2 linked regions of the Schizosaccharomyces pombe genome follow. The protein of the gene in region 1 binds, or shares a complex with, the protein of each later gene. Each region holds a gene or a part of one and is shown on either strand. Other genes may lie near its edges.

Region 1 (8,114 bases):
AGAAGCATTCGTGCATCAAAATCTGGAAGCAAAGAACGAAACAACTGGAATGAATTACAAGCCAAACGTCGAGAAGGACAAGTCGTAGCCCACGATAAAGCAACCTCACCCCATATTTGTTTAAGCTCAGGATATGATGAACTCAATAACTCAATTGTCTTCAAAATCATGTTATGATATTTAACCAAATCATCCTCCTTCTTGGTTTTACCACGAAGGCCCGTTATTAGTGAGCTTTCTACATTGAAATCAAAATAAGCGTCGTCATAATCTAACCTTCCTTCCATAGCTAGAACTTTTCGTACAACATACTGAAAAATCTGCTGGCATTGCTCTTGGACTATGCGAGAATAATGATCAAATTGTATAAAAGCAGCATGGAGTATTGTAGCCACATCATCAGTAACTGTGATTATAGAAGGATTTGGAAGAATATCCATCAATAATAGTAAAGATAACTGGCACGGGGAGTAGGAAATATGATTTTTTTCACTGGGAAACAAATCCTCTAAATTTGCAACATAAGTTGAAGATAAATCCTCAAGACTAAATTTATAAACCTCTTGGTTTTCATTCGATACATTAGCAGGACAAACAAAAGACAGAAGGGTAGAGTAAAGATCAGAAAGAAGTTCTGTTTTCGCGAGATAAATAGTAATCTGTCTTGTACAGTCAACAAAAGAAAAAGTTTTCCTTTGGTAACACTGTTGCATTAAAAAAAATAAGATTACGGTCCAGTTCGACTTGTGACGCGAAAGAGCTAACGAGGTCCATAAAGCCTCAATTTCGTTAGGTAAATCATTAGTAAACTTTGCAGTGACTTCAATCAAATCAATTAGAATTACCGCCGTAAAAGAATCGAAAGTTTTGTTTTCAACATCCATCTTTAGCTCCAAATTTTGTAGCCACGGAAGTAAAACCGTCACCAGTCCACGTCTATGTTGATGACCATAATTGAAATAACGTAAACATTCTGAAGTTAAAGTGAATGAATCTTCAGTAAAATCGCTAGCAAGCTGTACAGAAAATAAGTATTGAGGTTTCAAGTATAAAGCGGGGTTGCTTGATTCCAAGAATGTTTTAAATTCCATCAATGCAGTCATAGTAAAATTATTTAGATGAAAATTTCCAAGTAACTCAAATGCTTTTAGCCTTACCGAAAGATTATTCGTGGAAAGGTTTACCAAACACAAGGGCAAAAGCTTTGGTTTACTCAAATTGTTTGGATTTATTTGAATAAGCATTTCAGAAAGCGACAAGAAATAGTAATTAGAAATAGTCTGCGAAATCTCTTTAGAAAAGCAACGGTTGATTACCTTCTGCAGCAATACTTCATTGCTGCTATTCTCTAATAATAAGGCGGTCAGGCCTTTTCTAGCCAGCCCCACTATAGCCTTGGAGGGAGAACCAAAGACAGCAGTAAACCAATTAAGCAGTATCTCTATGTCGAACAAAAACACTCCTTCAGTTAATTCCTGTTGTAGCTTTGCTGTACATAACGCGATCATTGCCTTAATAGCCAAATACTCGAGGTTTTGCTTTCCAGCTTCAAATGAAGCTAACAACTTATCACGCTCACGAATATCTTTATTGTTACCGCGTATATGAGCTCTCATTAGCTCTTCGCGATTTTTTGTAATTGCACGAGCAGGACCAAATCCAGTCCATTCATCCAATAATTTCCAACACGAAGCACGTCCCGAAAAAGGAAGAACCTCAGACGACGGATGCAAATTCTGAACCAGTAATACTTTCTCAAGTAATTGAGAAAAGTAGCACCTTAATTTCAAATACTTCTCATCTGCTTGGACATTAGGAGTACTCAAAAATCCCTTTAAATCTTTCAAAAATTCAGATATAACAGACAACGCTTCACGGTCTTCATTTAATAACTCATGCAATAAGAGATGTGATGTCATTGCAAAAATGTGAGCTATTTCAGATCGCAATAACAAATCAGGTTTATTACGGCGCTTCACAGAAGGGAAGTTTAAGCCTGCAAAAATAAACTCTTGATGATCCTGTTTGAGCACAGATATATACGGCTTCAAAGAACGTACTAATTGTGGAAAGGCGTTTACGTTTATACAGCCAATAGCAAAAACAACAGCTTCACGTATAGGAGAAAATTCAGTAAAAATGAGAGGCAATACCATACTAAAAAGACTTTCTGCGCTAGTTATCTTTATGGTTTCCTGTAAACCACGTAAATGGTTTCCAGATTGAACAGCAGTAAGTGTCCTCCTAAGGTCAGTGTGCGAATAATCCACGTTAGAAGTGTATGTAATTGTACAACATGCAACAATAAGGTACAGCTTCCACTGAACTAATAAAAACTCAGGAAAATTATCATTTTTTACAGCAGACTTCAAGTTAAAGTTTAATTCCGAAGATTCAATACGCGATAATAATTGCATAGTAATACTCGGAAGTTTCTCACAAACAGTATTTCTAAGCAATGCCATAGTGGTAGGAAATCTTTCAAAACAAACCTTTATAAAGCGAGGAAATACATTGTACCATATTGAAATGTCAACGCCGCTGTTTGACGTAGCTAGTTTCAAAAGCATATCCTTGGTTCCATCGTTGATAAACTTGCGCAATCGTGACCTTTCAGCAGCAGTCGGTAAGTGACTTTCGACACTCAAAATTGAAGAATCGCAATCTTTCAGAACATCGACAATTGTCGGTTCAGAATATATGTCACCAACTTCAACTTTATCTGAAGAAAGCATCAAATACTCCGTATTTAATTGCTTAACATCATTAAGCAAAGCCACTGCAAACTTACGGATTCCAACTGATGGTGAAGATAAATGAAGTACACCAAGTGATTGAATTTCTTCAATTATCGTCCAACTTTGAATGTCATCATAATCTTGTTTTACAGAGGCAGGAGTATTGCTTTCAGAACTTGCACACGATTTATTACTAAGGACAGAATTCCTTTTTTCAATAACTGCTTCTTGCTGACTGATCCAAATTCTAATAACTTCATGGTAAGTTCGTAACAAGTACTCTGAACCCTTAACCAATTTCCGAGAAAGACAAGATATCACTGACTTCGACATTTTAAGCCCAGAAGAAAAGTATATCAAAGAGTTATGACAAACAGTATGGATTATTTTGTTTGAACAATTCAAACACTTAACATATGCATCAATTACACGTTGTTCTAATTTTCCCATGAGACAAGGAAACACTTTGAGTGCATTAATGTACAAAGCAAGCAAACTGGTTGCATTTTTTGAATCAAGGTAACAGTTGGTATTAGTGGAGAGCTGAAAAACGAGGAATAGAAGCTTTTGCGAAAGATTATGAACAAATTGTTGTAATGGAGTTCCGACGGCAACTTCATGTAAATCAACGAACTCAAATTCAATATATTCGAATATAGTACTATCCGATTTTTTGTACTTCATGTCGTGCAGAATGTAATAAACAGACCGAACAACAATCATTAATTTCTCAGGGCCAATATTCTCGGTAAAAGCATCAGTAGACAAAGGTGTTAAAATCTCTTTGATGACAAGCTCTGGAAAATGAGCACCGACTACACGCACAATTTGTGCATAACCATCCAATTCTTCTAAAGTGGCGAATGGAACCACGCTAAACTTTTTGCCAATCGAAAATCCCGATTTCAAAATATTAGAAATATTAGAATTCATTATGGAAGGTTCTTCCTTATACTGATTAGAGTAAGTCCATACAACACGAGAAAGATGGGGTAGACCGGTGTTCCTTAATCGTCTGTCTTTAACACGAAAAAAAGCAGCATCAAGGGAGGATATCCAATGCTTAAGGAAGAACTGTTTGGGAGAAAGACATAGAAGTGTACAACAAAAAGGGAAAAAAACATTCCAGTATTTAGTTTTCGTACACATTTTCAGTACTACAGGATATATTGTTTCAATGGTGCGCGACCACGCAGGAATATTCACCTCAAATGTAGCTCGACTGATTAATGGTCGAAGCAACTGTTCCATAAGATATGCATATTCGATTTTCAAGGCTGTGTTGGCTTTCATGAAAAAGGAAGTCAATGATTGCAAAAAAGCAATTGACTCTTCTAAAAGAGTTGTTGGATAAAGCTGCAAACGCAAATAACGCATTGCTCTAAGGAGATGGACAAGAACCGTTTCTTTTTGCCTGGAATCACAGCCAGACTTTTCCAAATGCTCAATCTCTTCAATAAAACGATCTGATACCATGACGAAGTTAAATCGAGACATACTTCCCACAAGGAATGCAAAACTTTCCCAATTAGCAAGACTGAAATAGGATGACGAAACTGGTAAATTTTTAGCGCTTAGTAGCTGATGAAAAACGCATTCTAATAAACAAGATACAGTGCTTTCTTCTAAGGCATTTGACGGTATCGTTTCAGCAATCTCAGTCAAGACACGGCAAAGTATATAGATAGAAATAGAACTCCTCCGCTCATTAACAACCCGAGGAGTACCACTTGAACTTGTAATATCAACACGAACTTTTCTCCAACACAATAGGGATTCAATGACGGCAACCGGTTTGCTACTAGCTAAAGCTACAAGAGCTTGAATACATCTGTCAAATTCATTATCTTCCCCCTTTTTAAGAAGGAGGATAGCTTCTTGCTCTCCAACGTTGAATCGTACAGGTTCAGCATTCTTACCTTCGTTGGCATGATAACGAGAAAGAAATGATATTTTTTGTTCAGAGAGTCGAACAAACTGGGTGAAAAGTATGTGAAGCGCGTAATCAACTGCCGTATGGTCCTGCTTCTCAGAATACAAAGGACCATTTTCGACAGGTTGATCGTGAGCAATTTCATTCAAGCTCATTCAGGTTGGCATTATATGGTTATCTACTAAATAGACGAACTTCAAAGAAAAGGAGTATGCAAAGTAAGGGTTTGAGAGCAATACCGCTAGCCTACAGAAAAGTGAAGAAAAAAGTGTATAAAAAAGCTATCTCGTTAGTTTTTATATTTAAGCATGCGTAAGCAAATTGACTAGCAATCGATTGTTAAAATTTAGGCGTGAATGGATTCAAAACTAGAAGTTTGTAATGGCTAGCACTCCGAACAATAAAACCTCTCAGCACACTGCAACAATTTTTGCACATAAAGGAATATAACGCACTGCGTTGTAGTAGGTGTGGTACTATATAGTAGGTGATATACTTAAAAGTCTAACTTCAAAATGCCCAAAATAATTTTTAAATGAAATGTAAAAAAAGAATAACCTTCTGTATGTTTGGTCAAAACTTTCTGAATTCTATGTCAGAAAAGATAATATGGTACAAGTTCAGTTTTTTTTAATGATTTTTAAACCGTGGCAAATGCGATTTTTACACGCTAACTTTTTGGAAACGAATTATAAATATTTGTTGAAAAAACTTGAAAGTTTAAGAACAACATATACAATGCTTAATTATCAAATTATTCGCGTGGAAAAAAATAGAAGCATAAATCAGTAGAAAAAGAAAGACATATACGCAAACTTGTATACGCCCAAGACAAAGTAACAAAATAAGTTATAAATTTAATCATGCATTCACATTTTTGAGCATTAGACAGTAATAAACTACGATGACCGTGACGGGAGTTTAAATAAATAATAAAAAGAAGAAAATGTTATTTCGTGCAACCTTAAGTTGAAGGAAATCCAAAGGCATTGATGCATGTAATTATTAGTATATCCTTTTGAAGTATCTCTAAATAGTGAGCATTGCAGGTATGATGATGAGAGTTTCCGCATGGTTTCATGAAACTTGAGCAGAATTAGCAGAAGTTATATACTTATTGACACGGCGAATTGTAGGTTCATCTTTGGGCCTTGGTAACGTTGTCTCTTTGTCAAAAACAACACCGACGTATTTCCTCCGTTTGCGAAGAGACACATCCATTTGAAAAAACTTAACATATCCGGAAACAAGAGAATATATTGTGTGATCTTTACCTAGACCGGTATTATCTCCGGGATGAAATTTTGTACCACGTTGTCGAATTAGGATCTCACCAGCCCTAACGAATTGGTTTTCAGACCTTTTTATGCCGAGACGACGACCAGCAGAATCACCTGTGTTTTTCGATGAACCACCGCCATGTTTAGTAGAAGTACGAATAGGAGGGAAAGTGAGAATATTTGATGCTTTCTTATAAGCTAAACTAGCTTTAAGTAATTGAAAATTGTTAACACGAATAAAAAGCCCTTGATTGATCATTGCACGGTGAACTTTGCATCAAATGAAGTACGTATTGTAAAAGAAAAATGTGTTAAACTGATTTGGCAAATAATTAGTAATGTAGAAGGATACTAAATATTAAAAAAATTATATCTTCGTCGAAATATTGGTTTATACTAAAAGGATGGATTCGTTGTAACCAATCTTCGAAAGTTTCTACCTTACATTTCCTTTATCCCAATTTACGAGTCGTGGTAATCGTATAAAATATTCTTATTTTACAATAGTGTAGCCTTACATTTTCTGTTTGAAATTCCTTACTCCTAATATCTCGCTAAAAGAGTACCATTACCTACAATTTACTTTGTTTATATTGGAAGCATGATCGCTAATGAAAAAAAAAGTAAAAGACACTAAATTTACGTCGACAATTTCTATCCTTCTTTTTAATCATGGAAAATTCACTTGGCTCTTCAATTCAAACAGCATTAATGACTGCATGAAAGAAATATAACTTTTTCAAAGTTTTAGCCTTTATTGTATTGTCTTTATTACTCAATGATATTCAATTTTACTTGAACTTTTAAAGTATGCAGCTGGAATCACATATAATAGATTTTTCTGTGCTACTAATTGATGTCTTAATGCAATTTCAACTGTTTTGTTCCTCAAAGCAAAAATTTATGAATAAAAACGGATGTGCTTCGTGTTACTAGTTGGTGGCAGGAACCAGCAAATTTCATTTTCTTGTGAAGAAACCATAAATTCTACCTTGACAGCGATATGCTTCAAGTTATACAGTATATGTGCTGCCTTAGTTCGCAGGATAATGTATCAGGATATTGTCAAGCTTTAACTGGATTTGATTATACTCGGAAACTTCCTTAGGTTAAAAACTTTTAAAATTGGCATAAAATCTTTTTCTCGTGGATCTTCCAGCCATAGCACGACAGGGAGTACTAATTAAAGTACGTTTTGCTTAGCTGTACCTACGTTAATGTCGATCTGAAGCTTTAAGCTACTACTTCCACCTAATACTGTCGTGTCGATCCCATAACGGTGTGTTATCGACGATAAATACATCAATGTACGCGTTTTTTATTTTATGTAATTTATTAGAATATTTTTTAAAAGTTGTAAAATTTTTTGGTATATATTTTTAAAACAGGGTGGTGTTGCATTTCTAAATATTTCTCCATGTATATTGATTATGCACTTTTCCGTTTTCCATGATATGCCAGCTTTTGTGGCACGAACATAATTCTATGGGATCAGGAAGAGAGAAGAAAATAAGAAAGCTAGGAGATAACTTTTCATTACCATATCTGAAATTTGATTGTGACCATAATGACAAAAATTATCGCGCGTCAAATAGGCCATTTGGACTTTCAACTGGACTGTCAGTGCAGTTGAATGCTTCGAACATGACTGATCCCTTTAAATTTTTGTTAGATAATTGGCATACAATTTTCAAAAATGGAGCAATTAAGCTTCTGCCACCTGAGGGATGGCAAATACCTGTTGTTCTTGATCAAGGCGCTTTTGAGTTTCAGTCAAAACGCCAATGTTTAAATAAAGGTTGTCTCAATTATGAAAAAAATTATGATTATTTTAAGAAACTTAAAGCATTTCATGAAAGTCGCGGTTTATATTTTTATCACCCACCGATTATCGGGAATCGCCCAGTTGATTTTTTGCGTTTGCGTAATGCAATCTCAAAGTTTACTAATTCCGGCTCTTCATTAAATAATGAAATTTTACATAAAGTCATAATCTATTTGCGTCTTGAAGATACTAAAGAAGTGAGGCAGGTTCTCACTCGTTGCTATGATCGATACATCAAACCATTTGAAAGGGATTCATCGCCATCATTCAAATCAAAAAGATCAGAGAGCTCAACTCGGAAAATTAGAAACACTCGTAGTTCAGCTCAGCAAGAATCC
Region 2 (2,750 bases), 1.3 Mb from region 1:
TCCAGAAGAGTCATGGACCTTAATTACTTATTTATCTCAACATGAATATATACCCTATCATATGTTGATGCTTGACCCACTGTTCAAAGGACACGACGATGCCGTTCGTGCCTTGGAAGAATCAGAATTGATTACTATTACCACAGTGAATGCAAGACCGGATAAAGTCTACGCTGGAAAACCTGTATATGTTACGGCTTTCCGGCAACTTGTAAATGATCCAGTATTAAGTGCTAATATGCAGTTGGTGAGATGTAACGCGTTAATTGGCATGGCTAACAATGCTATCAAGAATGATGAACAGGAGCTACAAATGCTAAAGGACCTTGGGAACCTTGAATCAGGTGTGAAGGATCGTGCTCATTACTTAACGACGCGTATCCAGAAAAATCAAGGTGTTATTACTGATAATGAGAAAAGTATAGAAAGGCTTACTGAGGCTTTGAAAAAAATCGACTAAGATGCGAAAGCATATCATTTAAGATTACGTATGTTTTTATGAATTCTTTAGCATGAAGCTATAATGTCAACAATAATATCACATTTAATGACTACGCATTAACGAGAGAGAAGGGAGTAAGGATTTGGTAGGTAGTCCAAAAATCGTCGTAATATGAAGTGAGCGTAATGAAGAATTAGCCTAGGTAGAAAAAAAAAGAAGAAGCGAAACCGGTTATAGTCATTAACCTTGACGGGTTTTATGTCTCGGATGTTTTTTGCATAGTACATACAACCTACCTTTGCGACGCACAAAATAGCAGGATGAACAACGCTTTTTTACTGATGCTTTCACTTTGAAACCTCTTGAAAAGTTCCAAGGTAGAAGGCTAGGAGAAAGTCTGAAAGCAGGGGTTAAGAACATAGATGCATTTTTTAACAACCCTTTTTGTGCATTAAAAGCAGAAGGGAAGACTCGTGACAAAACACCCACAGCAAAAAATTTACGACCTAATGAAGCCATTATAAGTTAAAAAAAAAGTGAAACTGGGACTTCAAGTCAAGATGTTTAAATTTTTTTGGATCCGAAGTAATTCTGAGCTAAATAAATGATGTACGATGGAAAAGTGTTCACAATTTGGACTGAGCCAAAAAAGAACGATAATAGAAAATGCCTATCAACAAGAGAAGATTTTCATAAAAAAAAAAGGTGAATACTAAGTTATATAAACTCGCTTACGCCCGATTTGTTGGATATTCTTTGTTGGGAAAATAAATAGTAGTTAGTGCTTCTAGTAAGCTAACCTACGACATGTCAGTTAGTGACAACCAACATGTCTTGTTATTCTATAAATTCAATAGCCAGCTTACTGTGGAGCAATTTGACCTGAAATTTATCACATTATTTTAAAATAAGGAATACTTTTATTAAAGTGGAGTCAACTCAACAGTGTAGCTCCATTTTTTGTTTACAAATGAAAATTTTAATGTTGAGTCTCTGACCTTCTTAGTCCCTAAAATAGCTAATTGACCGCATCATCTAATAACTTTGATTCTACGTTATTTGGTTTGGCATGCTAATCGATTAATTTGAAATGATCAATTTTTGAGAATTTGTTTATGTTTTTAGTTGCTGGTATAACGAGTTCGTTATACTTTGCTAATTTGGGTATGGAACTGGAGTGCAGATGCGTCATTTGCCTTGGTAAAAGATTGTTAAAGGAAAATTTAGCAAATCCCACGAATTGGTGGATGTCTCAAAAACACCAAAATATTCAATCCAAAGGCTGAAAAATAGATTGCTATGCAGCAAAATGTTAAAGAGAAACATGCTGGCAAAAGTGACACATCAGTGAGTTCTTTGGAGTGTGAAATCGATTATCATATCGAAGGGTCAGATGGCATACCTGTTGTGGAACCAGTAAGTTTACGCGAAAAATATTAAATATTTTGTGGATGTTAACAAAATTTGTTTAGAAAATTTCAGAATTTGTAGATATGGAAAGTTTTATTCGGCGCGTTGAAAGGCTTGGCAAGAAATACGGCGCAATTAAAGTTGTTCGTCCTAGTTCTGTTTTAAATCCTTGGAACGAAGATACAATGAAACCTTCCGATGTAAAAATGGATTTATGGTTAGAGCGAATGGTGAGACGGAAAGGAGAGTACTTCGAGATTCAAAGCGATATAGACCATGGCTCGGCTGGTCCTAAAAAGCCTACCGATATGAATGTCGACGACAGGTTTCCTTCAAACGCTGGAAGTTCTAATGACTTTGAAAACAATGTGGCTAAAGCTATTGCATATTATTGGCGTTCTTTGACCCATGACAGTCTGTGGTATGGATATACTAATCGCCCATCGATCCCCTTCTATTTTATACCTTCGATATCTGCTGCTCAAAAAGATAGGGTACATTTAAGATCGAATACATTGATTAACACTTGGCCAAATGTTGGTCACTTATTTGCTGGGAAATGGAAAACTACCCTTCCTTGGCGGGTAGAATCTCCTGAGCTGCATGCAGTTCAGGTACATTTAGGTGGCTCTTCATTGCAATGGTATGTGATACCTTCAGCACATAGTGAGTCTTTTAAAAAATTAGCTGGAAAGCTTGCGCAAGATGAGCATTGGCGTTGTTCAGATTTTTTGCTTCACCAGAATATTTTGTTTCCCCCTTCAACTCTAGTACAAAATGGTATTGTTACTTATTCAACAGTCCTTAAACAGGATGAACTGCTTATAACCTTTCCAGGCACACATCATAGTGCATTTTGTCTAGGAGACGCTGTTTTACGACGTTTTGTCTTTCGTTC

What was found.
Region 2: mrp7 (region 1) and rtc6 share a complex: the UniProt entries of both Schizosaccharomyces pombe proteins name them as parts of the mitochondrial large ribosomal subunit.

The regions. Positions count from the first base shown.
Region 1 is NC_003423.3:2,856,415-2,864,528, forward strand, and holds mrp7 (mitochondrial 54S ribosomal protein bL27m), read right to left. Parts: upstream 6,347-8,114; 5' UTR 6,211-6,346; coding exon 5,749-6,210; 3' UTR 5,065-5,748; downstream 1-5,064. Other genes in the region: morphogenesis protein Mor2, read right to left, coding at 1-4,826; Lid2 complex histone demethylase subunit Lid2, read left to right, coding at 7,401-8,114. UniProt on the Schizosaccharomyces pombe protein: Component of the mitochondrial ribosome (mitoribosome), a dedicated translation machinery responsible for the synthesis of mitochondrial genome-encoded proteins, including at least some of the essential transmembrane subunits of the mitochondrial respiratory chain.
Region 2 is NC_003423.3:1,519,530-1,522,279, forward strand, and holds rtc6 (mitochondrial 54S ribosomal protein bL36m), read right to left. Parts: upstream 962-2,750; coding exon 683-961; 3' UTR 501-682; downstream 1-500. Other genes in the region: RNA-binding protein Yme2, read left to right, coding at 1-460; Lid2 complex histone demethylase H3-K36 subunit Jmj3, read left to right, coding at 1,742-1,858, 1,915-2,750. UniProt on the Schizosaccharomyces pombe protein: Component of the mitochondrial ribosome (mitoribosome), a dedicated translation machinery responsible for the synthesis of mitochondrial genome-encoded proteins, including at least some of the essential transmembrane subunits of the mitochondrial respiratory chain.